4 linked regions of the Lepisosteus oculatus genome follow. The protein of the gene in region 1 interacts with the protein of each later gene in a pairwise test. Links are inferred from orthologs where the notes say so. Each region holds a gene or a part of one and is shown on either strand. Other genes may lie near its edges. The genes, in order: max, plekhf2, mxd3 and mxi1.

Evidence for each region.
Region 2: the proteins of max (region 1) and plekhf2 interact in binary tests that used the Homo sapiens proteins (3 or more experiments, as listed by UniProt). The two-hybrid records come from large-scale screens. The link is inferred for Lepisosteus oculatus from reciprocal best matches to the Homo sapiens genes MAX and PLEKHF2.
Region 3: the proteins of max (region 1) and mxd3 interact in a two-hybrid assay, tested with the Homo sapiens proteins (4 studies listed by BioGRID). The link is inferred for Lepisosteus oculatus from reciprocal best matches to the Homo sapiens genes MAX and MXD3.
Region 4: the proteins of max (region 1) and mxi1 interact in binary tests that used the Homo sapiens proteins (3 or more experiments, as listed by UniProt). The link is inferred for Lepisosteus oculatus from reciprocal best matches to the Homo sapiens genes MAX and MXI1.

What each region holds. Positions count from the first base shown.
Region 1 is NC_090703.1:15,578,992-15,586,431, reverse strand, and holds the start of max (protein max), read left to right. Parts: upstream 1-4,429; 5' UTR 4,430-4,559; coding exon 4,560-4,595; intron 4,596-4,865; coding exon 4,866-4,892; intron 4,893-7,440. UniProt on the Homo sapiens protein: Transcription regulator. Forms a sequence-specific DNA-binding protein complex with MYC or MAD which recognizes the core sequence 5'-CAC[GA]TG-3'. The MYC:MAX complex is a transcriptional activator, whereas the MAD:MAX complex is a repressor.
Region 2 is NC_090705.1:16,735,809-16,743,761, reverse strand, and holds the start of plekhf2 (pleckstrin homology domain-containing family F member 2), read left to right. Parts: upstream 1-4,937; 5' UTR 4,938-5,101; intron 5,102-7,953. UniProt on the Homo sapiens protein: May play a role in early endosome fusion upstream of RAB5, hence regulating receptor trafficking and fluid-phase transport. Enhances cellular sensitivity to TNF-induced apoptosis.
Region 3 is NC_090706.1:38,087,201-38,094,239, reverse strand, and holds the start of mxd3 (max dimerization protein 3), read right to left. Parts: upstream 3,011-7,039; 5' UTR 2,872-3,010; coding exon 2,802-2,871; intron 2,058-2,801; coding exon 1,958-2,057; intron 1,201-1,957; coding exon 1,171-1,200; intron 397-1,170; coding exon 282-396; intron 43-281; coding exon 1-42. Other genes in the region: lateral signaling target protein 2 homolog, read right to left, coding at 4,436-4,558, 5,174-5,277, 6,604-6,717. UniProt on the Homo sapiens protein: Transcriptional repressor. Binds with MAX to form a sequence-specific DNA-binding protein complex which recognizes the core sequence 5'-CAC[GA]TG-3'.
Region 4 is NC_090699.1:39,856,277-39,863,890, reverse strand, and holds the start of mxi1 (max-interacting protein 1), read left to right. Parts: upstream 1-4,610; 5' UTR 4,611-4,765; coding exon 4,766-4,991; intron 4,992-7,614. UniProt on the Homo sapiens protein: Transcriptional repressor. MXI1 binds with MAX to form a sequence-specific DNA-binding protein complex which recognizes the core sequence 5'-CAC[GA]TG-3'. MXI1 thus antagonizes MYC transcriptional activity by competing for MAX.

The sequences.
Region 1 (7,440 bases):
GGTTTTCTCTCCCACGGCATTCAGTCATAGTGATTTCACACCTTCTGCTAAATGACACAAATGACTTTATAAATTCTATTGAGCTTTCTGTGGTAGAGAATGAAAAAGCATGCTTAACACAGAAACAAGAAAAAGGATATGAAAAATATCCATAGCTCCAGACATCTCATGTTATTCGTTCAAGTAATATCAGTAGTACGATACAGGGCGTTCCAGAGGGTTGTTGGGTGTTGAAACTCTTGAGAAACTGCTATACCATTAAGGGAAATCTTACATCATCGTTCTGAAAACATAAAACTGTAGTTATCCCTCAAAATATGTTATATATATATAACATACTCCTTAACAAACTTGCCTTCAAAGTTTATTTATTTACTTCAAGGGATTATGACCAGTTAACAATGTGTATTAGTCATTAGTCCATTCATTAAAGATTTGTCTGTCAGTGTTTCATGCTCCCTCACTTTGAGCTTTTAATTTTTTTCAAATGCTTAAAAGCTTAGCTTTTTTGGAAACTCAGTGATCCATTTGATAAGTGAAAGGAAGACAACACACTGTATGGGCATCAAATGTTTAAGTAGAAGACATGGTTATTACAGTACCTGCATTGCATTACATATTCATTCTGTGAAACTGCATATCACATAACAAAGTGGGATGCCATGATGAATCATTAAGCCCCTACTGTTTTCGTCTTGAAATCCTCTGGAAACTCTTTGTGAGTTGGCTTGCACTGAAAGACCCAAAAATGAGTGGGCTGGGATAACTATTTTGCAAAACTCTCACTTTGTAAAAACAACTGGTGGAGTATAATATATTTTTGCACAGCTAACTGAGAGGATTTTGTGTGTATTTGCACTGGGCTTTATTGATGCCACCTTCCACCCCTACAATCTACTCTATAATCTTCTTATCAAGCTACAAATCTCTTGGAATATTTGTTTTTTTAGTATTTTGCTCTAATTTATTGAAGAAGCCCAAGTCTGATGGTATTTACCACAAGAAACACATTTATGTTTATTGATAGACACACAGAAATTCTCCTTTTTCTTAAAAGCTAAGCATAAAACCATTATAAGTGAAATAGTAATTAATTACAGAGGTTTACAGTCATTTTTAGTTCCTGTCCCTTGATTCTTCTTATTCGGAAAGAAACATGGAGGAAGGGTTAGGTCTCTGGACTGAAGTATCAAGGGATTACATCTTGTGTTGGACACTGCTGATGTTATACCCTTGAATAAGGTTCTTAAATCAAAATTATCCACAAAATGCCATACAGTACACATGAATTAGGTCATAATTATATTGCAGTTTCAGTTAAGGTTTTGCCTATTCTTCTATGCAGATTTTTAAAAGCTGTCTCAAGTTGTGTGGGCATTGCTCATGGACAGCAGTTTTCAAGTCTTTGCACAGATTTTCGATAGGATAAAGGTGAGGTGTTTGACTGAGCCACTCAAGAACATTCACAATCTTATTTTTAAGACACTCCAGTGTAGCTTTGGGCTTGTGTTTTGGATCATTGTCCTGGTGAAAGGCGAATTTTTGGCTCTGAAGTAGGTTTTCCTCTGAAGTTTACTAGCATTTTGCTCCATCTATATTCCCATCTCTCTCAATAAGCTTCCCAGTCCCTGTTGATAAGCAGAACTATAACAAAATGCTGCCAGCACCATTCTTGTCAGCAGGGATGGTTTTGACTGAGTGATGCATTATGTTGGGTTTGCACCAGATTTAACACTTTGTGTTTAGACCACAACGTTCTTGTCTGACTACAAAGCCTTTTACCACATGTTTGCAGTATGAATTAGGTGCTGTTGAAAACACCATGCAGGATTTGAGATGTTTTCTCTTTCAGTTTGCTAGCCCAGTAAGTTGAGTGACCAAGACAAACATGTTTCCTCCTTTCCCGGGTGCTCGGTTTGGTAGCCGGTTGCCTTCCACTTCTTAACGATTAACCTCACCAACCTCAAAGAGAATTAAGTGTGTTTGAACTGTGTTATACCCTTCTCCAGATCAGTGCCTCAATGCAACTCTATCTCTGAATTCATTTGAAAGCTCCGTGATCTTCATGTTTGAATCTTTGCTTGAAATTCAGTGCCTGGCTGAATGATCTTACAGAGACAGGTGACTGAAAGTTTACAAATGACAGGATGCCCATCTTGTCCTTTCAGTTACTTTTAGCTTAATGATCTAAGAATTCTATTTCTCCCTCTCTTAAAGAAACCTATTGAATCAGCTTCAACATCACGACTTGAAAGCACGTTCTCTATGTAGTGAATTGCTTCGTGTTTTCTGTCATCAATGACCTTGAAGATGTCCCCTGAGCTGACTTGTTGAATGACTTTCAGGTTTTTGACTAACTGTAACCATTCCCCTCATAATCTTCTCTGTTCTAGTCTAAAATCATTCACTTCCCTTAATCTGTCAGTACAGCATTCCCTTTTGACAGGGGATTAGTCTGGTTGCCCTCTAGAGCTGTAATGGCTTTCTTGTGACGTGCTAACCAAAACTGCACACAATATTCCAGATGAGGTACAGGCACTGTATAATTTTAACATAGCCATAGCTATTTCACCCTGCACCTCACAACTGGCAACCCCTGAAGTGAAGCACCTGTGAGCCTGGCCAGTACCTGGGAAAGCTAAGCTTGCAGCTGGAAGAGGTGTTAGTGGGGCCGCTAGGGAACATTCACCCTGCAGTCTGTCTGGGTCCTAATGCTCCAGCAGGGGGACACTATACAGGAAAAAGGCACTTTCGTTTGCATAAAACGTAAAACTGACTCTTAAAAATCCCAGGGAGTGTCTTGAGAGGAGTAGTGGTGTTACCCTGGCACCCTGGCCAAATTTCCCCCTGGTCTTTACCAATTAATGTGTGGTGAGTGCACTGGTGCACTCTGGCTGCTATCGCATCATCCAGGTGGACGCTACAGATTGGTGGTGTTGAACAAGAGCCTCCGTTACCTGTAAAAGTGCTTTGAATGGAGTGTCCCTTGTACTGTTTAGCTGGAAAAAGTGATGAGCCATAATAAACACCTAGATCCCTTTTATATACAGTACGATTTGCTCTTCCTGGTCCAGCACCACTTTATTTTAATATTTAAAATGTATGTTCTTGCTTTTTGCCTGACACTGGAGTTTGATTTCGAGGACTGAGAAGTTGTCCTACAAAATTTAAAAAGCTGAAAGTAATGGCATTTATTTTTATTATTATTATTGTTGTTGCTGTTGTTTTTAAACACTGGCTTGGATCAGATCCAGATTCAATATATGTGACTGTATGCAAGTTCCAAAGCATTACTTTGATGGCAACCTTTTTTTGCTAGAAGCCTCCTGTTCATACAGTGTACAAATCCCCAGCAAAGGCCTGTTGGTTTTAAAATGCGTGGGCAGGTGGGTTTTCTACTTCTAATTAATAATAATAATAATTAATAATAATAATTGCTTACACTTATATAGCGCTTTTCTGGACACTCCACTCAAAGCGCTTTACAGGTAATGGGGACTCCCCTCCACCACCACCAATGTGCAGCATCCACCTGGATGATGCGACGGCAGCCATAGTGCGCCAGAACGCTCACCACACATCAGCTATCAGTGGGGAGGAGAGCAGAGTAATGTAGCCAATTCATAGAGGGGGATTATTAGGAGGCCATGATGGGGTAAAGGCCAGCATAATTGATCTCATGCCCTTCTTTATATATTGTCATTTCCTTTCACTTTATTATGGAGTGCATCTGATGCCATTTTATGTCCAGTGTATTCTCTGGTGCCAAGAGATTTCAATACTCCTCTTACCCTTTGTTTTATTCTGTCACTTTTTCAAGATAGAAATTTCTGTATTTAATTCCAACAAGTCATGTTCCCACCTACAATGAAAATCTAACTTATATGTAATTTTAGAAATTATAATTTTAAATAATATAATTTATTTCACAGGCATATTTAGATGCCCATCTACAATCATGTGAATTATAACCCACAAAAAAATATATATATATATTTGGGACTTCCCCAAATATGACTTACACATAGTATCAGGTAAGCTGTCTTGAATGGATGACAGCAATAGCACTATAATTATCAACAAAAAGTATTATGCAACACGTTACTAATGGACGACCGCCATCACCCACAGCATTTTGACAAGCAAGCTAGAACTTGGCTTGCAAATGGCCATCCACGTGTCTCTATCATGGCCCCTCGATTTCATTTTTTTGAGTAAACTACACATCCCACTCGCCTTCTGCAAAGGTAAGTCCATGTTTTACGTCCCTTGGAAGCGCCCATTTGCGGGGAGTATGGGTCATGTAGTCCAGTAAGTAATGTTTGTGTATTACGGAAAGAGGCTTTGTTATTCGAAAAACACATTTCCCAGCATTCCAAGCGCTGTCGCACATGCGTGTCACGGTGTGTAAATGTCCGTGTGTAGGCGAGTCACGTGTGGAGAGTCCGTTGATCTCGTTTCGTCCCTGCAGTGAGATTCGCTTGTTTGTTCGTTTCGGTTTGTACTTGATTTTATTTTTTTTAGCTTTTTCTTAATTAGATCAAATATTTTATCGAAGAATGAGCGACAACGATGACATCGAGGTCGATAGTGACGTAAGTGGAAGATAGATATTTCGAAGAATATTAAATATTTAGAATTAAAACGCCTTGTGTTTTTCTGAATTTTGAGCTGCTGTCGGACTGCTGGTTGGTAGAGTTCTAGGAAGAGACTAGCAGTACTGAATGAGACGTTCCGCGGTTTCGGCTTTAAAGCATATCGAAAAAGGAGTCTATTTTTACATACAAGCAACATATGTAGGAGTTAAAGCTATCACTTAACTCACAATTATACAATTGTACTTTTCTGTTTTGTTTTTTTTACAGGAAGAATCACCGAGATTTCACTCTGTGGTGCGTAATATACGGAACGTTTTATCACGCTTAGACTTTTTAAAATGAAAATTGCTACTGCATTGACATTTCAGTATAATTTCCGGGTGGGTAAGAGGAAAAGAGGAGTTGGCTGTAGAGACAGCGATCCTGAATTGCAGGGGACACCTACATCGGTGACGGAAGAGCAGCCTGATTAGAGAACCATCCTTGTTGTACAGCTACTCCTACTAGGCCACCGCACAAGCCTATGAAAAAATAAAACGTAGAAGAGTTTGAATCAACGACGTAGAAATAAAAACTCACGTTGTTTTGCTTAACGCCCGTTTTGCTTAACTCCAATTTACAGTGAAATATTTTTCTACGCATCAAAGGGTAATCCCCAACCCACAAGACACAGCGCGTACCATTTTTAGCCTAGACGAAAATTGCCTGTTTCTTCACCGTTTTTGGCTCAAGATCGCTTTAAACATCAGAAGGAAAAAGGTCAGATACACAGATTGAACTGGATCTGCCTGTGCTTCGATGAGTAGGAACCGACCATAACATTTCGTTTCGTGAAGATCAGATTAGGCTGTTTTCAAAACCCGAAAAGCACATCAGGCTACTGTTCAGCAGCTACGTTTCCTGCTTTAATGGAATAGTTAAGCTGCACATACCGAAGAGATCGACAACGTATAATTAAATATTTTCTTAGGGAATACCTTTTTTTCTGCTTGAATTTAAATACTCGGTTTAGCAATCCATTATCTCGGTGCACCGGTAGATACTGCTTTAAATAGTGCTTAATTGGAATGCAGGTTACGATCTTTGGAGGGGATTAATAGAGGATATTTAACCTTCAGCAAAAAAAATATTAAAGATGATAGGCATAAAAAAACGAAGTGGCCAGCAGAAATACAAGGTGTTCAGGGCAAGTTAAAGGTGCTTCAGTTGCGTTGGTGTTCAACACCGTTTCACATTGACGGCGCAATAAACGATCGGTTGCTGTTGTATTATTTGACGTGTCTGTGCAGTCACTTTGATGTTTAAATCGGTGTACTACGATTTGTCTTTAAAAGACCGGGGATTACATTGCAGTCTGTTCGTGCCATTTTGTGTACCTACAGTTTACATTTGCACGTTCCCTCTTCCATTCTGTCAGTGCATTTTATTTACAAGTGTTTTTTAAATGGCATAAAACGCATGCGTAATACACTTAATAGGAAAAGAGAGGATATGGTTAGCACTAACTCTGTAAATTCAAGAACACAATTACACACTGAAAACGATAGTAAAAATACACATAACAAGTTGCTCTTCCGGTCTCTGCTTATGTTTTTTGTGAAACGATAAAAAAATCTTAAATTCAGAATTAGTGTTATTATACATTTTAAAATACTATATAAAGCCTGCTTTGCTTATTATGCCTTAGATTGTGTCACATTCTAAGGTATATTTTAGAATAGAATAAGGCTACAATTTGATTTTCTAAATGACATTAAAAAAACTTATTATTCCATTGTTGTGATGTAGTCTGCTTTACCATTTCTCTCAAGGAAATGTGATTTGGTATTTGTTCACCTATAAACCAAATAGTTTAAAACTTATGCACAGAGTGCTCATTTAGGGATTCACTCTCAAGTTGATTGAGGGTCAGCATGTGAAAATAAAAGCATTGGAGAGTCCTCATTCACGTACCCCTTGAGTTGTCCTGTTAAATAGACATTCTTCTGATTCTGATTCTTTTATTAAGAGGTTTTTAAAGGAAATCTGAATTACTATTGGGTTCAACAAAGAAATTAATTAAATGCAAGCAGTAAGTGCAATTATATAGATTCATGAAAGCACTGTAGTTCTGTAATAGGTACTTAAGTTGTTAAAGGATGATTGTATTTGGTAGTATAGTAACTAAATGTGGAAGGTAGCTGCTCAAAAAAGGCAGATTAGGAGAAAAGGGCCAAAAATGAATGAGTTAAACTAAGAAATGTGACAGAAAAGTTGTGGAATTGAGGCACCTAACCTAATATGGAACTTCAGGAACTAGAATGGTAGAATATAGTAAAAAAAAAATTGTTTTACTCTAGCCGATGGAATTGTTAGGAGACAGCTTTGTCTAGCAACCAGACCCAAGTTCAGAACAGTTACCTGACTCGTAAGGATACAGAAGTTCATAACGTGATTTTGTTTAAGTATATTTTGAAGACCTTGATATTAAGCATTAAATATGAACATAACGATGGAATAAAGTTAGTATGCCCTTCAAACGCCCCTTCTCAAGATATATTTGTCCATGTGAATCAGGATTTATCAATTCAGTAGATTCAGGTTAAAGAGTAATCGTGGAATATAATTGCTACAGGTGCTGCAGTCATAAAGGAAAGTGGTCACACTGACAAAAGTAGAAATGTTAAAACCATTATAGTGGTCTAGAAACATTGGAGGAAGGTGTTGACCCAAGGGAATGTTGGACCTATTGATTAGTTAGCTAAATGTTAAGCCAAGGTATCAATCATATGGAATAAAGAGTTGTGTCTGTGAAATGAGGTTATTCAGGTCACTACCACATCATATTTCCAACAGATTTCCA
Region 2 (7,953 bases), on another chromosome or scaffold:
CATCCATTATTTATCAGTATGCAAAAGAGAGCAATCAAATATCGATTAAACCTGAGAAACAGCAAGCAGAATTTGAACCAAAACAACACAATTAGCTGAGCCCAGAGAAGAGCCCCCTCAGCCAGCTGGTCCTGAATATCATTGACACCAATCAGCCTCAGGAAAGCAGAGCTTCAACAATCAAAATCAACCAAATCACAGCACAAACCAAACAACACTACCTTACCCACTGGGGCACACACACAAACACAACACAAACTGGAATGCTACAGAACCCTCAACAGAAATACACACTAGCTGAAGCAGCAAGGAGAAACAGACAAAGCAAGGAGAAACAGACAAAGTACAGGTTCAGTGACCACAATCTAGCCATAAAAACCGAGCGACACAGGCAAACCTGGCTGCCCAGAGAGGACAGGCTGTGTTCCAACTCCCCGCAGGGAGAAACAGACAGAGATGCACTTTCTATTTCATTGTGACAAATATTCTGGGATCAGACAAATATTCTTCTCAAAAATAACAAATCTAATCCCAGACTTTCCATACCTGCCAGAATCAGAAGAGTTCCCAATCCTACTGGGACAGGAGGGAGGGAATTCAGTTGAGACGGCCACACAGTACATGATCTCCTGTCACAGCCTGAGGCACAGTGAGCCTGTCTCTCAATAATGCTCTATTTGTTGTATGTAAATATACTATGTTGTATTTCTATTAGTAATGTACATAGATGTTGTATTGATTGCATATGCTTAGGCAACACTGTAATTTACCAGTCACGCCAATAAAGCTGTTTGAATTTGAAACCAGAGCACCCAGGGGAAATCCACACAAACATGTGGAGAACATACAAACTCCATATAGATAGCACCCCAGGGCCGTAATTGAATCCAGGGCCCTAGCACTCCAGAGCTATGTTGGAGCAGTGCTGTCCACTGTGTCACCATGCCTCCCATACAAGTTTAATTCCTTGATGTAAAGAGTATAACTTTCGATTTTCTTTTTATTGCTTCCCCAGATAAGGTTTTCATTGATCATTTTTTCAAATTCTGTGTTTCCCATCTTCCCATTCCCTATCTGATTATTTTTTCTATGATCTTACACGTAAGAGAAGTGAGACTTACTAGCCTCTAATTACATGGTTCAGTTTTGTCACTCTTTACATAGATGGGTGCTATATTAGCAACTTTCCAGCGAATGGGTGTTACACAAGTCCCAAATGATTTTGCCCATCCCTTTCTGCTGAGTAGTTGTTGGTCTGTGGATTTATTGCTTTATACCTCTTTAATTTTAATATTAAACCATTTGTTTATTCAGGTCCATTCTCCTTATTTCACACATTGAATGCAGAAAGGTGAGTACTTTCATCTCTGTAAGTATGGAATTGGAATCTCGTATTTTTTAATGTATTCCAGGACAGATACTGAACTGAGTGAACCCACTGAGTCAGGTCTTTTAGTCCACTGACGATGACAGGATGTGACAGGAACACTGTGGTTTGATTTTAACTCCATTTCATGCATTTTTAAAAGTAGGAATGCCATTTCAGTGGCAAATGATTTAAATAATAAACTTTTTGTTTTGAATCTTTTTTCTCAAAATAACTGTACTTTATAAGCAAGCGAAAAGGAATTCTGAACTTAGTGTCACAGACAAAATTTAAGAGCTGCAGAGTAAAACCTAAAAAGAATATTTGATTTAGACCTTCAATACAGCCTTTAAAAGACTTATATTTTGGCATTATTTTATACCTGTTGCAATTTACTTTTAAATATTGCCTTGGGAAACCATTAGAGGCATTTTCTTATGTGTACACTGTGTATGATGTTAGTGAGTGTCAGCTTCATCAAAGTCAGCAGCTGTAGTCTCCTTCTCATTAAAAACCTATTCTGTACTAGAGGGATTCCTCCTAACATATTCACTAATAACAGCTGCCTGAAGAAGATGGTCTCAATGTAGTCTGGAGTAGCATACAAACCAGTAAACAGACAACACTACTATAATGACATTTATTAATGCACATCTTATACTGTTATGGAAGAAGAGCAATGATGCTGTGTATAACACTGCTCATCCTCCAGTTAATGTGGGGAAGCAGTAAAAAAGGAGAAAAAATGTTAGTCAAAGGCGTAGAATTTAAACGATAGTTTGTTATTTTAATTTTGTGTAATGCATTAGTAAGACCTCATTTAGAATAGTGTGCATAGTTGTGGTCAGCATGTTACCGAAAAGAAATCGTTGCTCTGGAATCAGTCCAGAGAAGAGCAACCAGATAGATTATTGGGTTTAAGGGAATGTCCTACACTGACAGACTGAACGAACTGGACCTTTTTTAATCCTGAACAAAGGAGACTATGAGGGGACCTGAGACGGGTGTCCAAAATTATCAAGGGCACAAAAAAGTCAAGACATCCTCAGAATGAACAGTGAAACATGAACCATAGGGCACAAGTGGAAATTGCTCTGAAATGCTGAAACTGTGACTGGATGGGAAGAATGACCTCCTCTGTTTTGTAACTGTGCTTTAAAACAAACCAATACTACTGTAAGTACCCTGCCTAGATATGTTCCTTTTTAAAAGCCTTTGGTTACTTTTAGGGTTAGGTTTGGGATTCGGGTTAGGGGATTCTGAATTGATAGTCAGGTTTAGGGCTATTCATAGATTTGGAATAGTATGCATAAATGTACAGGAGTGCTCAGTATCTGTGCTGGCCCTCACCTCAAGAGAGTTCTCATTTACCAGCCAGATAGCTGTGGGGGTTGTCACTTTCCCCCATAGCCAGTTATGCACATTTCCTCAGAAAAAGACTTGTGAGTTGCCGTGTGGAGCTGTGGGGGCGTGACTGTGAGGGGCCAGCGGGGAGCAGTCCAGTCGTGTTGTAACAGGAATTCCAGGTGCTCGCTCAGGGGGGGCTTCAACAGTCGTGCACCATGCCAGCCTGCAGGCAACTAGTTCTGCGCTGGACTCGCCTCTGCAAGTCCCCCCAACCCCACTGGCCTGGGAACCCGTTCCCACCTGCTGTCTCCACGTCCCACACCTGTGAGAGCACGTCCAGCTCTTCCACTGCGCCGTCGCCGTTAACCATCGGCCGCGCAGGAGCACTGTTTAACACACAACAATTACCCGTCTCTCCAGATATTTAATTGGAATGCACAGGCAGCACGCTTGAACATTTTGTTCAATGTGTCGCTGTCACGCCAGAAGCTCCCCAGAGGGCCGCCATCTCTCTTCAAAATGACTTTTAATTTCAACCTTTTCATCTTGCTCTTGAAAGATAATGATCACTTTTTTAAAAAGGGGTTACATAAGGCATACCGTGTGTCAGACTGGACACTCATGGTTGAGTGCTCCCCATCTTTCTCGGGGTTCTGAAGAAATTTGAACCTCCTGCCCTCACGCTCCTACTCTGTATACCTTCAGTTCTAGTGTTGCGTTGCTGCAGTGTAATAAAACACTATGTACATTGTTAGTAAAACATTGCTCCAGATTGTCTGGCCACAAGTGGACATACTGTATTTAACTTATTTGCTTCATTGCTTTAACATTTATAGCGACTGAAAACAAAATCCCTAAAATTAGGGAATTATCCCTGAAAGCAGCAAACCTGGCTTTCTGGATATATTTTTTTACAATTCTCCTAATTTGTAATTTGATAGAAATGAATATATATATACAGTAAATGTCTATGTATATTACACAGTATATATGACTGCGAACTATAAACAAGTAGCTTTTAGTCCCACATTTGCATGTACAAATTGATGAGTGGCACATGTTATGAGATTGTTAAATAGCAGGAACAGTTCAAAAAAGGTGTGTATGCCAGTTTGTAAAGGTGGCTGTGTTATCTAATTTTCATGGGATATATTAATGCATTTCACGAGGCACCATATTGAGAAAAGTTAAGAAAGCCTTCCAGGCTTATAATATGGCTTCAAGTTGTCTGTTGGGTTTCACATGAGCCGGCAATGCTGTTTGTGCACTTAGTAGAGAGGCTCTAGATGTTGTGGACTTAGTAGAGAGGCATATATGGGACAGAATTACATAACAGATTAAATATAAACCATATGTTCTCTGTGCAGAAAAACTATATCACACTATGAATTCCAAAACACAAAGGGATCATAAGCAACATGTTCCAGGCTCCCTAGGTAGTGAGATACCAAGTCTCCAGTTTTGTTTAGTTTTCAGTGCTGTTTCAGTGCTTATTGGAAAAACAAACACCAACTTTATTTCTATTTTATGCATAGTTGACGTTAAACGATGTTTTTTTATTCGAAAAACACTTTTATAATTCATCCAGTTAAATGATGTCCAGATGTGACGTTTTAAGAAATTCGTTTTTCTATTATTATCTGCTGTATGTATTTGACATTTCGGCTCATTATTACAGTTCATTACTAGCAGCACATATGTTAAGCGGAAGACGCCTGGATCAAATTGTTTCCAAGAGAATAATGTAAAGAAAAACAGATATGAACCTTAAGCTATTTCAAAGATTAATCGTTGTAGCAATGTGCAGATCATGCAATGTCATAAGTCCATTTACTACCGGCAATCTGAAGGCCAGTCTTTTCAGTTCTGTAAAAGATGTTTACAGAACACATATATGTTTTAATAAGGCCAGATAACGTTTCCCTTCCGAAAACGCTGAACTGTTTTTTTTTTTCACCAGGGGTCAGGGGAGCGCTGACTTGAAACAAGGCACGCGCGATTTAGTCATAGTCACACCACCAGTGTGGCCGGGTATGCCCTCCCCAAATAAAAAAGAAAACACCACATGGAAAATACATTGAAACAAAAATGACGGAAAAAAATGGCAACACCCTCCAGCCAGAAATTCCCGCTCGTCTCAGCCTTCTTCAAAACGTGAACGCGCAGTCACATCCCAGCCTTCCTGCTGCGCGCACGCTGCGTGCGCGGTGACGTCACGGCGGCCGCCGCTGCGGGAGCCATGTTGTTATTGCCCGTGAAGTGCTAAACTAGCTCCTGGGAAAGAAGCGAGGTGGAGGTAGGGGGGCATCAGACAGCGAGTTTAGTCTGTATCAACGGAAGGAGTAACAAGTGGCTTGGAAGTTTCAGCCAGAAGCTTAAATTGGGTAGGTGAGTTTGATTTGTTCTTGCTCAGTGTGCGTGTGTGCGCGCTGGTTTCTAGCGTTGCGCTTGCGAAAGTAGGGGTTTTGAACTTCTCAAGTCATTTTCTTCCTAAACTTCACTACAACCAGCGACACTTGGAAATGTGACAGTGAAGGGGGGGAGGGAGAGAGGGAGGTGGGGTAAGGCAGTGAAATTGAAAACGAAGTTGCTGATGTTTCCTTTTCGGTTTGGGTGCTTATTGTGTTGGATTAATCGGCCGAGGGGAGTCAAGTTACAGAGTCGCGGGCTGCGAACTTGAGTGAAAGAAACTGGAGACTTGAAAAGCTGGAAATGGATGCAGTGCTTTAAAGTGGCGAAATCGAACACCATTCACGAAGGCTGGGTGGGGGTGAGATTGGGACCGAGGTGATCGGTCAGTATTTCCACATGTGTCTGTGAATCATTCGGGGATCAGCCCGGTATCTTTGACAGGGACAAGTGGCGATCCCGTGTCAGCCTCCCAGGATAGTGGCTTTGCTCGAAAAATCAGCCGACAGTTCTGTCGGTGGTTTTAAAAATTCTCTGTCTAGCGTTGTCCGAAAACAAAACAAAACAAAAACGTGTCGTGTGAGCCCGTCCCTGTCCTGTCACCAGAGATTTAGCACGCCTTTCCGAGGAGTGTCCCTTCGTCTGGATGGAAGGAGGCTCGTCTCCACAAAACTGCTTGCGCTCCTGACCCGGACGGGGTGTCCGCGGTGTGATCGCCGTGAGCAGAGTTAAAAACGCGCAGCACCGCGTCTCCTCTCGGGATATTGTCGATATGACCCGCTCGACTGGGTCTGGATCTGTACCGTGAGACCTCCTGGGCTAGTAAGAGTTCAAAAGCACACTCTCCGGACCTTACGCCCCCTGCTCTGTGGAAGCGCGCTTTCTGCCTCTTCCCGAGCAGAGCCGGACTTCAGACCGTGTCTTCAAATGTAACTCGTGATGGAGTTTGGTCTGGCTGTCCAGCGCGTTTTAAAACAGCCGGTATGTGTTGGACGTGGTATGGTGTTGGTACTGTATCTACACTGCTACACTCGCCACGCGTCTTAACATCAAGGACCCCGGTGAAGGATTCAAATGTGCGTTATACAGTATATTGGACTAGGGTAAGGATTGAAAAGATATGCAGAGGATGACGATTTCAATGAGAAGTTTTGATTGGTGGTGGTAAACATTAACCAGAGCCCTCCTTCAGCCGCTCTTTTGCATTATTTATGTGAAGCATACGTATTGAGCCATGTCTAACTTAGCGTAGATAGGTTTTCTGTAAAAAAAAACAAAACAAATCTTACCGAGACACTTTAAAACATTCTGATGAGGCAGGCACCTGTGGGAATCAGTTTTCTCATCAGTATCGTGGTGTTAAGGTGGATATATTGAGAGTCCTCTCATATAATTCATCGACCATCTTTCACCATTTTTTTTAAAACTTCCCCTAAAATAATGCTTATGACTCGCACATCAAAGCTTATTCTAATTTATGGGCAGTTAAGCTTGTCATAATTAGCATGTTTGGGGTACTTTTATGTTTGTGCAGTGTCTTAACGGAATTATTTGAGATGTAAAAAGGTTTATAGCTGACTTTTCCCCTTGTGTGCACAGGCAGTTTTCAATGCACATTTCTATACTAATAGGATGGTGGTTGTTTCTTTTTTCAGTTGATATGAGCATGTGAAACTAATGTATAGAACATCTGTTATCGATATCCTGTTCAGAACCCAAGACAGGTTACAAACGAGAGGGGGCGTTGAAAATGAAATCTTTAGTCTAGCCAGGCACTGTCCCGATGAGGTGATGGGATGATACGTTTTGCTGACAGTGTACATTCATGCCCTGCTTGTACAGCAGGACCTACAGTAATTAGCATGTTAAGAGTTTGAATGTTGCCCTATGGAGTCAAGACTCTCTTGAAATCTGGAAGAACACAGAAATGCAAAGGAAACAAATTAATGATAAACTGTTGGCAAATTTTACAGGTCAAACTGAGATGAAAACTGTGATAGGACACTGAAAATTTTAAAAAGGCATGTTGGTTAATTGCTCAAAAGATGGGGAAATTCTGCTACTACTGTATAATCCTTTTCAGGCTTAGGTGGTTCAAGACTGCAATTACATTTTAAAGTTTTAAGTGTCTATAAGGCTTTTTTTTCTCTCACACCTGGTCTTACATACGAGTATGGACTTTTTTAGATCTTTGTACACGTTTCTAAAATGTAAATATATGTTCCCATCAGTATTTTCTGTATGTTGTTTACTGGATGTAAAAGAGGCACTTTACCTTTCATTTGCTAAAAAAATAGACTTTTATTGACAGTAAAAATATTTAGTTATTGTTTATGCAGGTTTAAAGGAGGATCCAGAAATAAAGAAAATTGTTTGAATATATCATAAATATTGATAATTTAATCATTCTGACATATTTCTAAATAGAACCTACCGATGCTTTCGTGTAGATTTGTGGAACGGTGAGTTTCTTCAGAGCAGTTGTAGTCCTGAAACCTTAGATACCCACCAGCTCACCAGCCACCACTAAACCTGAAACAGTGTGGGCTGTTTAACAGCATTTGGGTTGACTAATTAATTGCAATGAGAAGGTGTACAATTGTACTGTCTGGTGTCCCTGAAAAGATCTGGTCACAGTAAAATTTTTAAGAAGGGTCAAGATTCTTTACCTGCTTCACTGGATTGTTTTGAAAGGGGAAACATTTTTACATGCTAATTTAATGCTGTGATTTTCAGTAGTGCAGTTAAAAAACGACTGTATGTCTCTTAATAGAAACCTCAACAGGGAGCCACAGTAGAGAGGCATTTGTTAATAAAATTGACTTTTAAAG
Region 3 (7,039 bases), on another chromosome or scaffold:
GTCCTTCAGCCTCTCCGCCTGCTCATCCTGCTCCTGCAGCTTCTGGAAGGGATGCCAGCGCACAAGCGGGCAGTCACCACCGGGGGTCCCAGCGCACGAAACGGAGCACGCACAAACACACTCATGCGGGCACTCGTGCAGAAACAGGGTGGGCAGCAATACCAGGGGCCCCCGAATTCAGGGGGACAAATCCCACAGACGGGAGGGGGGTCTCTCCCCGACGGCCCATCGCAGTCACGAGCACACACACGCGGTCTGGAGCGCCCGCGGCCGCCTCTCACCTTGATGTGCACCCGGGCCCGGCGCAGCAGGTTCAGCGTGGTGTTCCGCACCGAGTCCGAGGACAGCGGCACCTGCTCCTTCAGGAGGTCCAGGCAGTGGCGCAGCTGGGCCCGCCTGTGCCCCACGGGACCAGGGCGAGAAAAGAGGGGGGGGGGGAGAGAGATCGTGATGTTTTCAGCAGGGAAATGTACTTTCCGTCAGCCGGAGATTCAGCAGAAGAAAGACCCCTTCTGTTACGCGTTGGTATGGAGAAATGTTTAGCGTCCTGCCCCGCGAAAGGCTTAGCGCGGTTCTGAAGGGGAACGGAAGGCCTTTCCTTGCTCTTCTAGATTCTGACAGAACTGCTCCCCCGAGGGACGGAGGGAGGTCATGCTGGATGGGGAGGGAGGTGGATTTGGAGAGGCGGGACGGATGTCACCAGAGCCTTAGAAGGGATTTGGAGACTGGAGATGTGTTTCTGTGTCTGTATCTTTCTGATTTCTTTGTTCTTTTACTCTGCGCCTGCCCCTTGATGACTGCATGCGAGCGATGCTGGACACGAATACCATTAAAAGGGATGAAAGAACGTGCACGACTCCCAGCTGCGCTTAGTGAGCTGAGTCTCGGCCCCGAGGCGCTTGGCCGGAGAGGGCAGCCGGGCTGCCTGTCTGGACTCCCGGGGGGAACTCGGCGTTCTCCAGGGCCGCTGGCGAAACCGCGTGGAAAACAATCCCAGATCAGAGCACAGGGCCTGAGCCCTAATTCCAGGCCCATTCGCAAATTCTGCTTGCACTGTGTTGTGGGCTCAGTGATCTTTTCGCCCTTTCTTTACAGTGCCAGCCAAATAAAACGGGGATTTAAGAGCTGTAGTAGAGAGGTCCAAGGAAGAAAATAAATAAAACATTTTACCTGTGCTTTTCCAGCTCGTTGTGCACTGATCTATGGGGGAGAAAAAAAGCACAGGTCAATCAAACTACCTTAAGAAAAGCAAAAGGGTCTGCTGTATAACTAAACCACAATTCAATCAACACGACTTTGGGAATTATCTAAAATGCTAATATTGGGAACTCTTGAGGCCACTGAAAAAAGTATTATTCCTCCTCTCGTGAGAAGTGTCTGATGGGGTGTATTTTTTTTTTTAAAAAAGCAGACAAGATTATGTGCGATGCTTTAAACACAACGACAACGCATATTTTAAGTACATGACAATTTTCCATTTCGAATCGGAAGCATCAACCCACGTTACCACAGGCCTGAAATTAAGATTTATTCAAGCCTGTGCTTCTGCAGCCCTTAACTGCAGGAAATTAGTGCAAGTCTAACCGCACGTCTTGAGCGCTCAGGAATAATGTTTATCACAGGAGCACGGTGACACCCGAGTAGATTTCCCGTCTTCTTCACAAAACGATATTTCTGGGAACCCTTTGACAAAATCCTGAAGTTTGAGTTGGGATTAGAGAGGGCGAAATCAACCGCAAGACCTTTAGTACTGTAAATCTTTACTTTATTTGTAACACAGCAAACCTATTAACAACCGAGTAAGCGCACCACGCCCAAACTCGGGTTAACTAGAAACGTAAACACGGTAATCAAAACTACAGTAACAGTTCCCGAATCGCTTGTCCGATACAATATTTTTGGGGGGAATAATAATTTCACTTGAAAGCAGCGCGCTTTTGGACAAGAGGCGCCTTACCTGACGTTGTCCGGATTCTTCCTGGTTTTGGGTTTGTGTCTCTTGTCCGACAGCCCTCTGCTAGTCAAAGGCTGCAGCGATGCATAGCCGTGCTCTGCTTCTAAAAAAAAAACAAAAAACAACAAGCCGGGGTCACAATCTCTTTGTCTGTCCCCACCAGACAGGGTTAGAGACAGGCTGGGCTGCGCTCCACCGGAGCCGCCTTTCGCATTGACGAGCATTACCCACCAGACAAACACGTCTGAAAAGGGGAGATATTCCCACACGCTGAACTGTAACTCGGAAAAGTAACATTGCTGCTGCACCCAATTCCTCATCTCCGCGCGTTTCTGCGGGTTTGATGCAGCCTTGTCGACGACAGTGACAGGTCCCCCTCCCAACCAGCCGGCGATCAAAACACAGACGGTCTTTTTTGGCGCCACGGTCAGCGCTAATCTTGGGATGCCGCACACACACACACAAAAAAAACCGAGCTGATTTTCAGGCGATTTCAGGCTCAAGCATCGGAGAGAAGGAGCTACCCTCCTCCCCGGTGCAGGGCTGCGTCGATGAAATCCAGCTCCGGGCTCGTCTCGGTTTTTGAACCAGTGACGGCTTGGCGCCTTTGCGCAATAACAATATTGTATAACATAATATTTGGGTCAGCCAGGGGGACGGGCTCAGCGCGAAGGCCAGCCGAAACTGGATCTCGGCGGACGCAAACAGCTGCACCTCGATACGATCTGCATTTTGCACGGAACCCCCCCACCACACAAAAACAAAAACAGGAGAATAGTTCAGACGCAGCAGTCCTGTCTGAGCTGCAAGCCAAAAGAGAAAGTATCCGAGCTGGGAGCTAACTTACCTCTTTCTCGCCTGTCCAAGTACTCCGCGGCCTGCAGCAGCACATGGATGTTACAGTTATTATTTTCCATTTTTCCCCCCACCCCTTGCTTTTAAAGGCCGTGCAAACTGGAAAGATGGGTGCAGCTATTCCTCCTACCAACCCCACTAATTCCGTGCCGAAGGGGTGCAAAGTGCTACCGAAGGTGCCTTGTTTAAGGCTGACGTCACCTTCCCCCGCCTCCCTAGACGTTAGGGCGCGCCCTTGCAACGTCGACAGCCACAGAAACACGCCCCCTGAGCGCCGTCGGAAGGAGAACAGTGCCATCTTTGTTGTGGCGTAAACTTAAAAATACTTCATTTTTACCCACCGCCTTTAAGCCCTCCGACCACCATCGTGTTGTGCACATCCAAACTGGCCTCGGCGCTGAATCTAGGCTGCAGGGGCAGTTCAGGGTGGGGTAAAAGGATCATCACAGCCTTCATCTTTCACTTCCCCTGCATCGACTTCAGTAATCGATAGAGCAAAAGTATAGCTCCAAACTTTGAAGGTGTTCGCCACATTTGGTCAGATCAATGAACGGATATGTCAATCTCAAAATATAGCCCTTTCTCGGGCAGGAGTGGGAAATAATTCAGCCGGTACTTCGGGGAAAAAAAGTAAAGTCGTTCAGCATTTAATTCTGCCGCATTCAACATGGACGTCTGCGTGTGACATTGGCGTTTGACCAACACGTTGATTTTCATTGGCCAGTGGGCGACAAGGACCGCCCCCACAGCGCGGTGTTGTAGCCGGATTGGCGGTCGGGAAGGGAACGTGACGTCTTGCAGAGATGGTTTAAAAATACAAGCAGGCGGGAACAGGCGGAAGAGTTTGAAAATTCAAAAAGGTAGAGAAAACGAGGGAAAGTGGTCCTTTGCGTGAAAGGACTGCCTTTCTAAGTCCAACTTTCTGAAACGCAGCAGACGTCTTCCGGCATTTGCACTGAATTACGCTGTGTAATACTGCGACGAGGACGGAATCATTGGAGATGGTTTTCTCGTTGCTAAATCTTACTTTAGTTTCACTACTGGTAAATTATGAAATTACATAAAACCACAGGGAGCACAGACCCGTGCTGCAGATTAGGTTGTTAAACATTTCAAATTTATTGTCGAGAGGAACTCCATTAGACTTTTTTTTTACAAAAACATTTTTAAAAAAAATTCTACCCATTATGTAATTAAATACAATTTTCACGTTTTAATGAAGTTTGCAACTTAACTAGAAATTCCCTGAAATTACTACATCATGGTGCAAAAGGGGTTTCTCTCAATACTTGAAAGCATAAATCCAGAATTTCACAATGTGCAGAGCTAGAAGAAAAATAACCTTTCTTGCTGAAGAGCAGATGCATTTCTGGAACAGTGATAGCCACAGGAGCCTTAGGAACTACAGATCTACAAAACTCTTGGGAAAATCTAAGGGAAATACATACAAAGGCTAACTTAAAATTCTGTAGAGAGTATACAGAAAAAAAAAAGATTAGTTGTGACTCAGTCTGCAGTCATTGGCCAAGCACACTACCGAACACCCAGCTTTTTCCCCCCACAGAACCAAACCCTCCAGATCACCCCCACCCCACCCAAATCAAGTCCGTTTTCCGTCCACTCCTCTCAAAGCGGCGTGGTTTCTCCCACGATGTGGAAATCGTAGCAGTGGTTGCACACGCGCACCGGCTTCATCTGTCCGAAGCGAGGCAGCGGGGCCTCGTGGGGGGAGCAGCGCGCACAGAAGATCTGAAACGAGCAGGAGAGGCCAGGCCATCGACTTCGTCCTCTGCTGGAGGAGGCAGGATTATCCGGTGCGGGGTCGCGGGGGAGCAAGGCAGGGTACAGCCCATTTGGGACACCAGGACACACGCACACGCACACGCACACGCACACGCACACGCACACGCACACGCACACGCACACGCACACGCACACGCACACGCACACGCACACGCACACGCACACCAGTGGGACTTTGTATTTGTGTGGGTTTCCTCTCGCAGTCCAAACACTCCATGCAGGTAGCGGCCCTGGTCCGGAATTGAACCCAGGATCCCCAGAACTGCAAGGCAGCAGCCCTAACCCCGCTCTGCCATCCTCTAACGATAACACTTCTTCTAAGTGAACCAATTTTTTTTCCCCAGAAAAAAAAAATCAAATCATGCCATTTCGTTCTGCCTCCCCAGGATCAAAAACATGCAACACGGAAAACGAACAGATCCTCACTCACTCCAAAAGCCAGCAAGCAGGTTCGGATCTGGGTTAGGCTGGCGAAGCTTTAGCAGAGCCGCGTAAACGAAGCGTTTAGCACGCCCCTTGAGCGGCGCCCAGCAGGCCGCAACCCTCGGTCCTGGTGCCTACCTTCCCACAGCTCCGGCAGTGGTGCCGCCGGCGCAGGATGGTGAACGGGGCTTGGCAGGCTGTGCAGTGGTCACAGGCGCTGTCGGGCACCCAGACGGGCGGTCCTGCCAGGGAAGAGACGGCTTGTGAGTTTCCCCCCCCCATACTGTATGTGACGGGGCTGGTGCACTGAACCCATCTCTGAAACCTAGATGGTGTGGACCTCTGTGGCAGAGTCTCTTGGCAGGTCTGTGCTTGGATCCCACAAAAGACCTGGGCCAAATCCCAGCAGGGGCAGAGAGAGCTGCATTTTCAAGAGCTGACCTTAAGCCCCACAGCCCACTCTTCTCCTCCTCCTGCTGCTGCTGCTGCTGCTCTGGACTTTCACCCTTCAGCCTCAGTGTGGTTTGACGGGTCAGAGCACACTTGACTCCTCCGGGAAGTTATCATGGAAAGTGAAAACCACCATCTAGATGTGACATGCAAGGTAAAATGCTAAACGTCGGGTACAACAGACCAAGCCTTGGCACACGGGAACTGTAGCATCCCGAAGAGCAACTCAGGAGGTTGGGAAAGACCATTTGCAAGGTATCCTTTCTACCCATAGATTTGAATTTGCTGCCTCACGGTACAATAAAGAGAGGCCCTTGCTATGAAAAGTTGATAACATTACTCCTATCCTTGAGTCCTTGCACTGGCTTCCTGTCAACAACGCATGATAATTAAGTCTTACATTTTAAGAGACCCCTTCAGTACTGTATTATAAGGAACCCGAGTTATACAGTACCTCTGGGTTAATGTCATTTATTAACTTGGTTGAGGCTTTTATGGAAATAACCTTACTTTTATGCCTATTAATATAGCAATTAATCGTTTTGCTCAAATGTACAACAGCATTACCTCACCTAGGATTTGAGTCCTCAACATCCCCTTTACAAATCCACTACTTGATACATGGGGCTTTTAATAGACTACAACAACATGTGTATAGGACTTAATTCCTAAGAGTATACAGTACCATGTTGCACTCAAGCATTAGCTGCTCATATCCCATTGGAATCTAAGCCATCATTTTATACAGGTGCCGTTCTGGAAACTGCCCTCCCCTCTCAAAAAAAAAAACTTAGGTAGCTCAAACCAAACACCAGGAGTCACATTTCTGTGGTAGTAACATTATATCCGAAGATGGCTACATCTGTAATACGTCTTATGTTTCATTTCATGTTAATACAAAAAAATCCTGGCCTAATACTGCCTTTATATACGCGTGCATAAACAGAATGTACACAAGAACACAGGCATATACAAAAAGTATGCAGTTTTAATTTAAGAGAACTTGAATGACCAAATCTGCAAGTGCCCTGAAAAACAAGAAGTAGGTCAGTTTACCTTAAATATCCATGTCTAACAGCTATGCGCCCTGTCAGGTTTAGACCCCCCTAATCCCTTACCTCCTATATTGCCCATGTCTGAAACTCCGGCGTTCAGATCGTCACACAATTCACATTCCTCTGGGCCAGGATCGGGACCTTCCTCCAGCTGCTGGTCTTCCTCCTCTCCCTCTGCTGCGAGACAGGAGAGAACGCACTCTCCTTAGATCCGTCACTCTCCGCTTGGCTCACTCGGAGCCTGGAGCGGCCAGGATGCTAAATTAATTCAGGGCAAAAACGGGACTCGAGACTCTGGCACATTCGTCTAATTGACGGAGGCTTCAATAGCTTTAATCACATTTTGCGAAGAGGAATGCACCAAGAAGGGAATTTACTAGGCTGCAAAAAGCAAGAGGTTTGTGACTTTGATCTAAATTTAGTCACCAAATGGTGACAATCTGTGCTTGTTTAAATAAAACACATAGCAGGCATCTACAATTTCCTATCCTAAAAAAAG
Region 4 (7,614 bases), on another chromosome or scaffold:
TTTCATTTAGTCTTTTCTGCTCTAACCTCAGCTAAATCATTTATTTCTCACTATGAGTAATACATGCTGCACTGTCCATTCAGAGCATGGGTCATGTAGAATGCAGAATTTAGAATTCTAGCGGGTTTTTTTTTTACATTTCCTGATAACAGAACTGCAACAATAACACATGTTATACTTTACTGGAAAATGCACAATGGAGTATTTAAATATCCTATCTCCTAAATGCTCTTTGAATTATTTGCAGCATCAGAATTATAGTATATGTGAGGAATTATTGTCACCAACACACCTGCTTAACAGAATTCTTGAGTCACTAGTTTGTAGACAAACAGTATTTTGTCATATAATGTTTCATATTTAGATTAAACATTGTTACTTGGAGTATTACACATTCAGAATAAGAACATTTAGAATAAGCGTTTAAGTTAGATGGAATTGAAACAACTGCAGTTTTCCATTTGAAAGGAAACCCATTTTAATAAATGTCACTAGAACCTTTCAATTACAAAGGGTTCATTGAAACATGGTTTCGTTTGAAAAATTCAGCATTCAGAGTGGTAAAAAAAACACGAAAACTTAGCTCTTTTGGAAAAAAAAAACCTCAAAACAATTTGTTTATCAAAACAGGCATAATACACATGCATATTTCCTCAAAGAGACCAGAGTGTCAGTTACATTTTACTGGCTTCTGTTTTACATTAGACCATTCAACACCTGGCAACAAAATGCAGTTAAATAGGAAGTGTGCTGTGAGTTAGAATGGTCATTATATATTTGGGAGACACTGTGGTTTATATATTCATAAAAACCACTACAGTTATCAGAATATCCTTGAATTACCACTCAATACCAGAAATCATACACAAAAATTTAATTTGTAGATATGCAGAGGAGCAAACCCTTAGTAGTACAAGAATTGCCTTCTCTAACAAATATAACTTCCATTCTAATGTTTTTGTGTTAACACTGTGTATTAAAATAAATGTGATTTGTCTTTTTGGGGCAGATAACATTGCAATGACATACTTTGCATGATTGTTTAACTTGAATGTTATCAGTCTTTAAATTTGAAGCCTTAAATACAATGAATGGTTTGCTAGTCTAAAATTCCACTGTCCATTCTGTACATTCAACACTTCTGATATTTCTAAGTTAAATGACAGCATATCAGGGAGCAAACTATGAGTAATGTGAAAGTCCATAGCTCATACCTCAGTTTCAAATACCTAAAGGGTGCATACATTAAAATTTCCCTCTTTGAAAAGAAAAATGTATTTTCATTTTTTAATAAAAACACATTGTCTTCACGTCTTCATAATTTTGCCCCAGTGAGCTCTGCTAAAGACAAGCCATTGTCTTACTGTATTTAATCAAATCAACATTACTAAATGCTATTGTGAAGTTATTATACTGTATATTAAATCAATACATCTAATTTTGATATTTGATTTGAATGTTTAATTGGAACTTAGTTTGTTTTTCCTTATATTACTTTTTTGCCAGCCATATTAGTTGTTGTTTATATCAAAAAATGAAATGAACATTAAAGCTGAAATTAATATGACAAGCTCTGAAATCTCTTTAAAGTGTTGCTGCAATACAAATATTGCCTTGAGTAACATATAGTGATATTGTTTTTGTTTACCATTTGTGTTTGTTATAGTCTGTGTTTTTTCTTCATTAGAGAAGAATGTATACATTTTGATGAATTAGTGCTCAGCTGTGTGTGAATTAAGTTACATCTTGAATTATTTTGTATGTATAAATAAAATAAATTTTAAAACTTTGAAAACAGAATCATGTGATGAAGTAAATGATCACTGTATGTTTGGTAAAAAAACAGAATATCATGTTACCTACATAGGAAATATCCTAATTGCTTTGAAAATAACCCTTTTTATTTAGTCTTCTCTCTTCTTAGAGGATGAGCTATAGTTTTATGGTATTGTTTGTTCTGGTGAAATGGATGAATGAAACAGTTTTGAAATGTTGTTATAGAGGGTAGTAGAAAAGGAACCATGTCATAAATAGCATGGTGGGATTCAATCATGTAGTGAGAGGTCAACACCTCTGAAGTTATTCCAATCGAGCATGTTGGGGGACGTCTCTGGCTGTTTTATTGGTATTTGCAGTGACAAAACATCCCCTGCAAACTCTCAGTTAATAACCACGTACTCATAAATAATACAAAACTATTGAACTAGACCTTACAAATTTAAAGAATTTCTTCTCTTTTTCTTCAGCACCATGTCATTATATATAAGGAATCTAGTCATTCAGGAACATTTCAAATGATCCTCAAAAGAACCTTTGAGAGTTTGTTCTAGTATTTATTTTAATTCAGCACAACAATAGAGTAGGAAATACTACAGCTTTTACAGCTAAAATACACCTGATTTAAAATGTTTCAATCTGTGATCTGTGAAGAAACTGTGAAGATTAAATAAAGATCCTTTGGGATGGTTATCCAAAACATTTGTGTAGCACAGGTGCTCAGTGATTTCCTAGGACTGGGAAAGGCTGGGTTTTGAACTGCTTGCCAGGATCTCTTAATTACACTTAGTCTAGTTGTTATGAACAAAGAGGCAACATCCATTTGAAATGTTGCAGCTGGAAACAAGATACAGCTGGAAATTGAGCTTGTTGGGATGGCAAAACCTCCCTGTGCCCTAACTAACTCCAAAGTCTTGAGAAGGATCGTGTTTGGTCAGTGCATGAGTTAAGGCATGAGGTTTACAATACCTTACTTTTCTATCATCTGAATCTCGATTTTTTTCTGGTGTAGGAAAATATGTCAATGATCTTTCTGTTTATTGAACTTCCAAGCTTTCTATGAACTTTACATCAAATAGCAGCAGCTTGTAGAAGAGCCTTTGAAGTGGCATAGAACATAAAGGGACTGAGCCATTTTTCTCTGCCCTTGAATGAGTAAAAACCTCGCCCTGCTGAGAAAGTCAAGAGGCCTTTGGAAATGGCCCGTGCGGATCAATCCGCTCTTTCTTTTTGTTTTCCTGGTTTTCGTCAGGCAAATCATGTCTTTCCCGCTTTTCCTAATTTTAAACAGGAGTTAAAGATATTTTATTTTGGGCTTGGTTTTGTGCACACCTTGTTAAGATGCAAACTCTTTGAATCTTTTATTTAAATGTCGTTAGAAAACCTTAGATTTGTTTACAAGTAAACAAACTTGCATCGGCACCATAGATTAAATTAATAAAATGACCAACTCAAATCACACAGTTAGCAAAATAAAGAAAGGGGAAGATTAAAAGTGAAAACATTACATATTCAGTTAGACTCGGTAACTTAAAGCATTTGGTATCAGCGTTCTTGATCATACGGCTAAAAATGTCGCTACAGACTCTTTTAACGTGTTTTCAAAAACCACGTTGTACTGTGTCAGAAGCGAAGAAAAATTACATTATTGTCATTAACAACATTGTCATCGACATGTCATTTACATGACAATATCGCGAAATTGCGAGAACGTGTCGTTAAACGGCTGTTTTAGAAATAGGCCTAATCGAGTGAAAAGAGTGCAAATTAGGTGAGAATCATCACCTCTCAATACATTTTAAAAGGGGACAGTGAGCAACGATAACCTCTGTTCACCTGCTGTGTTTCAACCTGTGGAAACAGCAGCAGTCCAGAGCTATCAGTGTAAAGGGTTACTCTATCATCACATACAATATTGCCTGCCCTCCTGGAGTCACAAAGGAATCTAATACCTATACACGGTAAGCTAAGGTGAGCAGGTAACGTAGACGGTTAAGAGTGAGGGACGTATTTTTAGTAGAAATTACAGACTCAAGGCTGCCATTGAAGTGCTAAAAGTTTAATTGATTTCGCAGACGGTGATACTGTATAAAAATCCTAGAAACGGTTATTGTAGCTTTCCACATCTGTAGTTTGTAATAATATTTATTTTACACGCATATTCCTTAACAGAGAAAAGAAAGACGGGAAATTTAGCACCAGGTCTTGTATTTTTTTTTTTACTTTCAACTGTTCTGGTGTATTGTATAAGAAATGCATCTGGCAGAAGATTAAATCTGCAGGGGAATCAGATAAATTTGAAATGTTTTCCAAAGTGTAAGGCTTGGTCTGGCAACATTGTGTGTAAATGAAGATCGCCGTATAAGGGGGAAATACCATTGTTATTTTAGTTCTGTAAGAAGTGGGGTTAAAGGTTGACTTAACCAGAGGAAAGTGCGGTCCGGAGTGGAAACGGTGAACAAATGTGTTAGGTCACAAATGTATAATTTTGAGTCTGTGTTCAGGGGCAGGGAGGAATGGGCATCTATTATTTTGATCCTTTCACTATTCTTTTCAAAGTGTCTCTCTATACACCGTAGGTTAGTTTTATTGACTTAGCACATATTAGGTGGTGCTGACAGGAACAATCGATTTACAACGTGAAAAGCAGCTTCGAGCTGCTGGGTGCCCTGTAGCAGTAGATAATATTCGACTCAGGTTCTCAAGCTGGCTTCGTCAGATCAACACGCCGTGAAGAGGGCGGTTAAATGACATTTCAAGGCGCCAATGCTTGACTTCAGTGCGCCTATGGGAGGAGTTTAGGCTAGTGGATTACAACGTGGATCGTTGTATTCTTCAGGCACAGGGACCTAGAAGGCAGCGACTGGAGACGCCATCCATAGATTTCACCTTTCATTCATTGATCGCCTTCTAAAGAAGCCGCACAACAGAATAGCTGACCAAAGATTTACTTTCAAGCAGCAGCGATTTCCCTTAAAGCAAAATCAAGATGGTTAGAAGTGAAAGGCAAAAGAGAGAGCTTAAACCTGACGATGTGTTTCTGGAATCCGAGACATCAATGGATCAGCAAGATTTCAGCGAGATGTCTAGCTGTCCTTTCGACATATTTCGCTCCAACGATTCTGCTATGGACCAGATCGACACTTTTCTGAAAAATGTGCAAGTTTTGCTGGAGGCAGCAAGTTACATAGAAAATAACGAGAAGAAAAATGGAAGTAAGTGTTTGTGTCTGGAAAGGGGACTTTAAATTGTCGGAAAGGTTTTAGGAAAACTGAATTGTCATGATACCAGTCGACTCAGACAACAAAGGACTTCAGTTGAGCAGAGAACTACTTACAACTAGATGTGAACCACGCAGTGTTATAAGATTTTCTTCACATTTTTAAATAATCTAGAATTAAAATGTTTTATAAATACGCGTCTAAAGAACTCTTTTCCTGATTTTTGAAGTTCTACTGTGTATATATAGTGCATCCACGCTGCAAAGACTATTTAAAGAAATGTGGAGTGAAAAAGTTGGCACTTCAAACAGAAAGACCACTATATTTATCCTAAAGTATACGTACTGGATTACAGATTTAAAAGGAATATTTATTAACTAAATGTGCATTTTAATAAAAACTTTAGACATGTATACAGGACAAAGAACATAAAAAATAGCTTTTTGCTACACATGGAGAATCTCCCAAGTTAAATGTAATGAGATCAAATCATCATAATTTTTCAAAGTGGCAAGCAGATACTGTGAATAAATTGAGTTCGGGAGTTTCGTATGTTTTAAATAGAGTTATTGTTCTGCGATGCAACGCCCCAATAAACTTGAGAATGAATAACACTCTGCAAAACAAGCAGACGGTGACTAATTCAATAACGTTCATGCGCCAGAAAGAATTGTAAGGCACTGGCTTTTGAATGGTATAGCGTGTCTGCTACGGAGAAAGACGTTTTCCAGAACCACACGTTTGAGTTGACTAAAGGAAAACGTATTCTTTCACTAGTGGTACATCGTACCCCTTAAAAAATGCTAACTCAATCATTTTTAAGAAGAAACCTCTTACTAAGAAAATCTTTATCCTTGGCATTGGATTATGCTTACATACAGTAATTATGCTGCTGGACTAGCAAGAAGAGACTGTACGCAATTGGAATTTAATAGAGTAGTAGTACGCTGAATTGTACTATACAATACTAATAATAGCAATTCTTATTTAATATTTGTAAACATCAATAATACAACAAACGCCGGCCTATACAAGGAAGCCTCGTTATAAAAGCGGAATAAAGTGTTTCATGAGGAGCATTACGCTCAGGTTGAAACATGAAGCTCCTTCACAGACTACATAAGGCCGTAGGTTTCGTAGCTTCCTAAATGCACTTGAAATCGGTGTGCGTTGATATAGGATGTAAGCATTTGATTTTGTATGCCTACGCGAAATTACACTAATCAGACCGAGTTTTACAATCTCACGCAAATAATTTTGTATCCTGTTGCTATTAATATCTGTCATCCTTAACTGATGTCGTCATTTATGCGTCTTACGGATTTCTACACAATGCAGTATTCTGAACATTTCAGATGAAAAGTCCTAAAGATAGCACTGTGGTTGTACTTTACATACTTAAAAGGGAATATCTCCGTAACCACCCTCCCCCAAAGATTACGTAATTCATCTATTTTATTTTTTTCTATATTTCCAATAAGTTGAGCGTGTTTAAGATAACCACCAAACATACAAACCAACAATCGAGTTAAAGAATTTAAAGTTACAGAATTAAACATTTAATTTTGTTTTATGTGCGTATCTAATTATATTGGAAGAAGTAAGAACGCAGCACATAACCAAATAATTCATAAGTAACCAAAACAATAGCCTTCAATCAACTCCATGAAGCCATTTTAATATCGTATTATTCCTGCGGCAATTTATTCTGCTTCCTGGTGTTAGCTGGTGTCTCACATGGTTTCCACATGGATACAAACTCGCCCCTTGTGATTGGTCCAGCGAGAGGTCCGTGGCCGTACTTACTGACGTAGGCATCCAGTCAAATTCCTCTTCCTTATTGACGTCATGTGTTGCTGGGCCTGGCCTCTTGTGGCTGGAAAACGTGTTCAAAGCATGGATTTATGGGATATGTAGGCTTGGAACAACCTGCTCTGATTTTAAAGAAAAATATATGTACCGTATTAGGGAATAGGGAAGTCAGAACGGTGTAATTGTGGCATTATTAACAGGTAAATCACGAGAACCTTAGAACACCTCTAGAGTTTAGACATACTGCTGATAAACCTTTTAAATTGAATTGCAAGTGCATCTTGGGTACGTGCATTATAAAGTTTTTTTCATCAATATGTTTTTAACAATATATACGCCATAGAAGTCAATACCAATACTGGTTTTCTCAACAGAAGGGTGAAGATAGAGGATATATGGGTAGAAATTAAGCTGTGAAAGTAAAATCAGATACATCTGGCATCAAGGAAGTATTGAGCTTGTTTTTCTGAAGACTGGGTTGCTCTGATCAATTAGCAACTGAATGAGCAAGATAAACAGGATGACTTCGTCTCCAGTCTTATGTGCTGAAGATACTTAATGTATAAGCAAGCATATGGCTCGGCCTCTCTGAGATGCATATCGCATTTTTTTAAACCCACCGAAAATATTTTAAGAAAAGTGACTGTCATCTGTGTATCAACAATAAACTTAAGTAGGACAGCAGTAAAATCGGCTAAATCCTCAAGTCTAAGCTCCTCAAGTTCTAAATGACCTGCGATGATTAAAAGGCCACTATGCATCATCAGTACAAACGCACTGTGGGGTTTGCGAGTTCAAACATCAT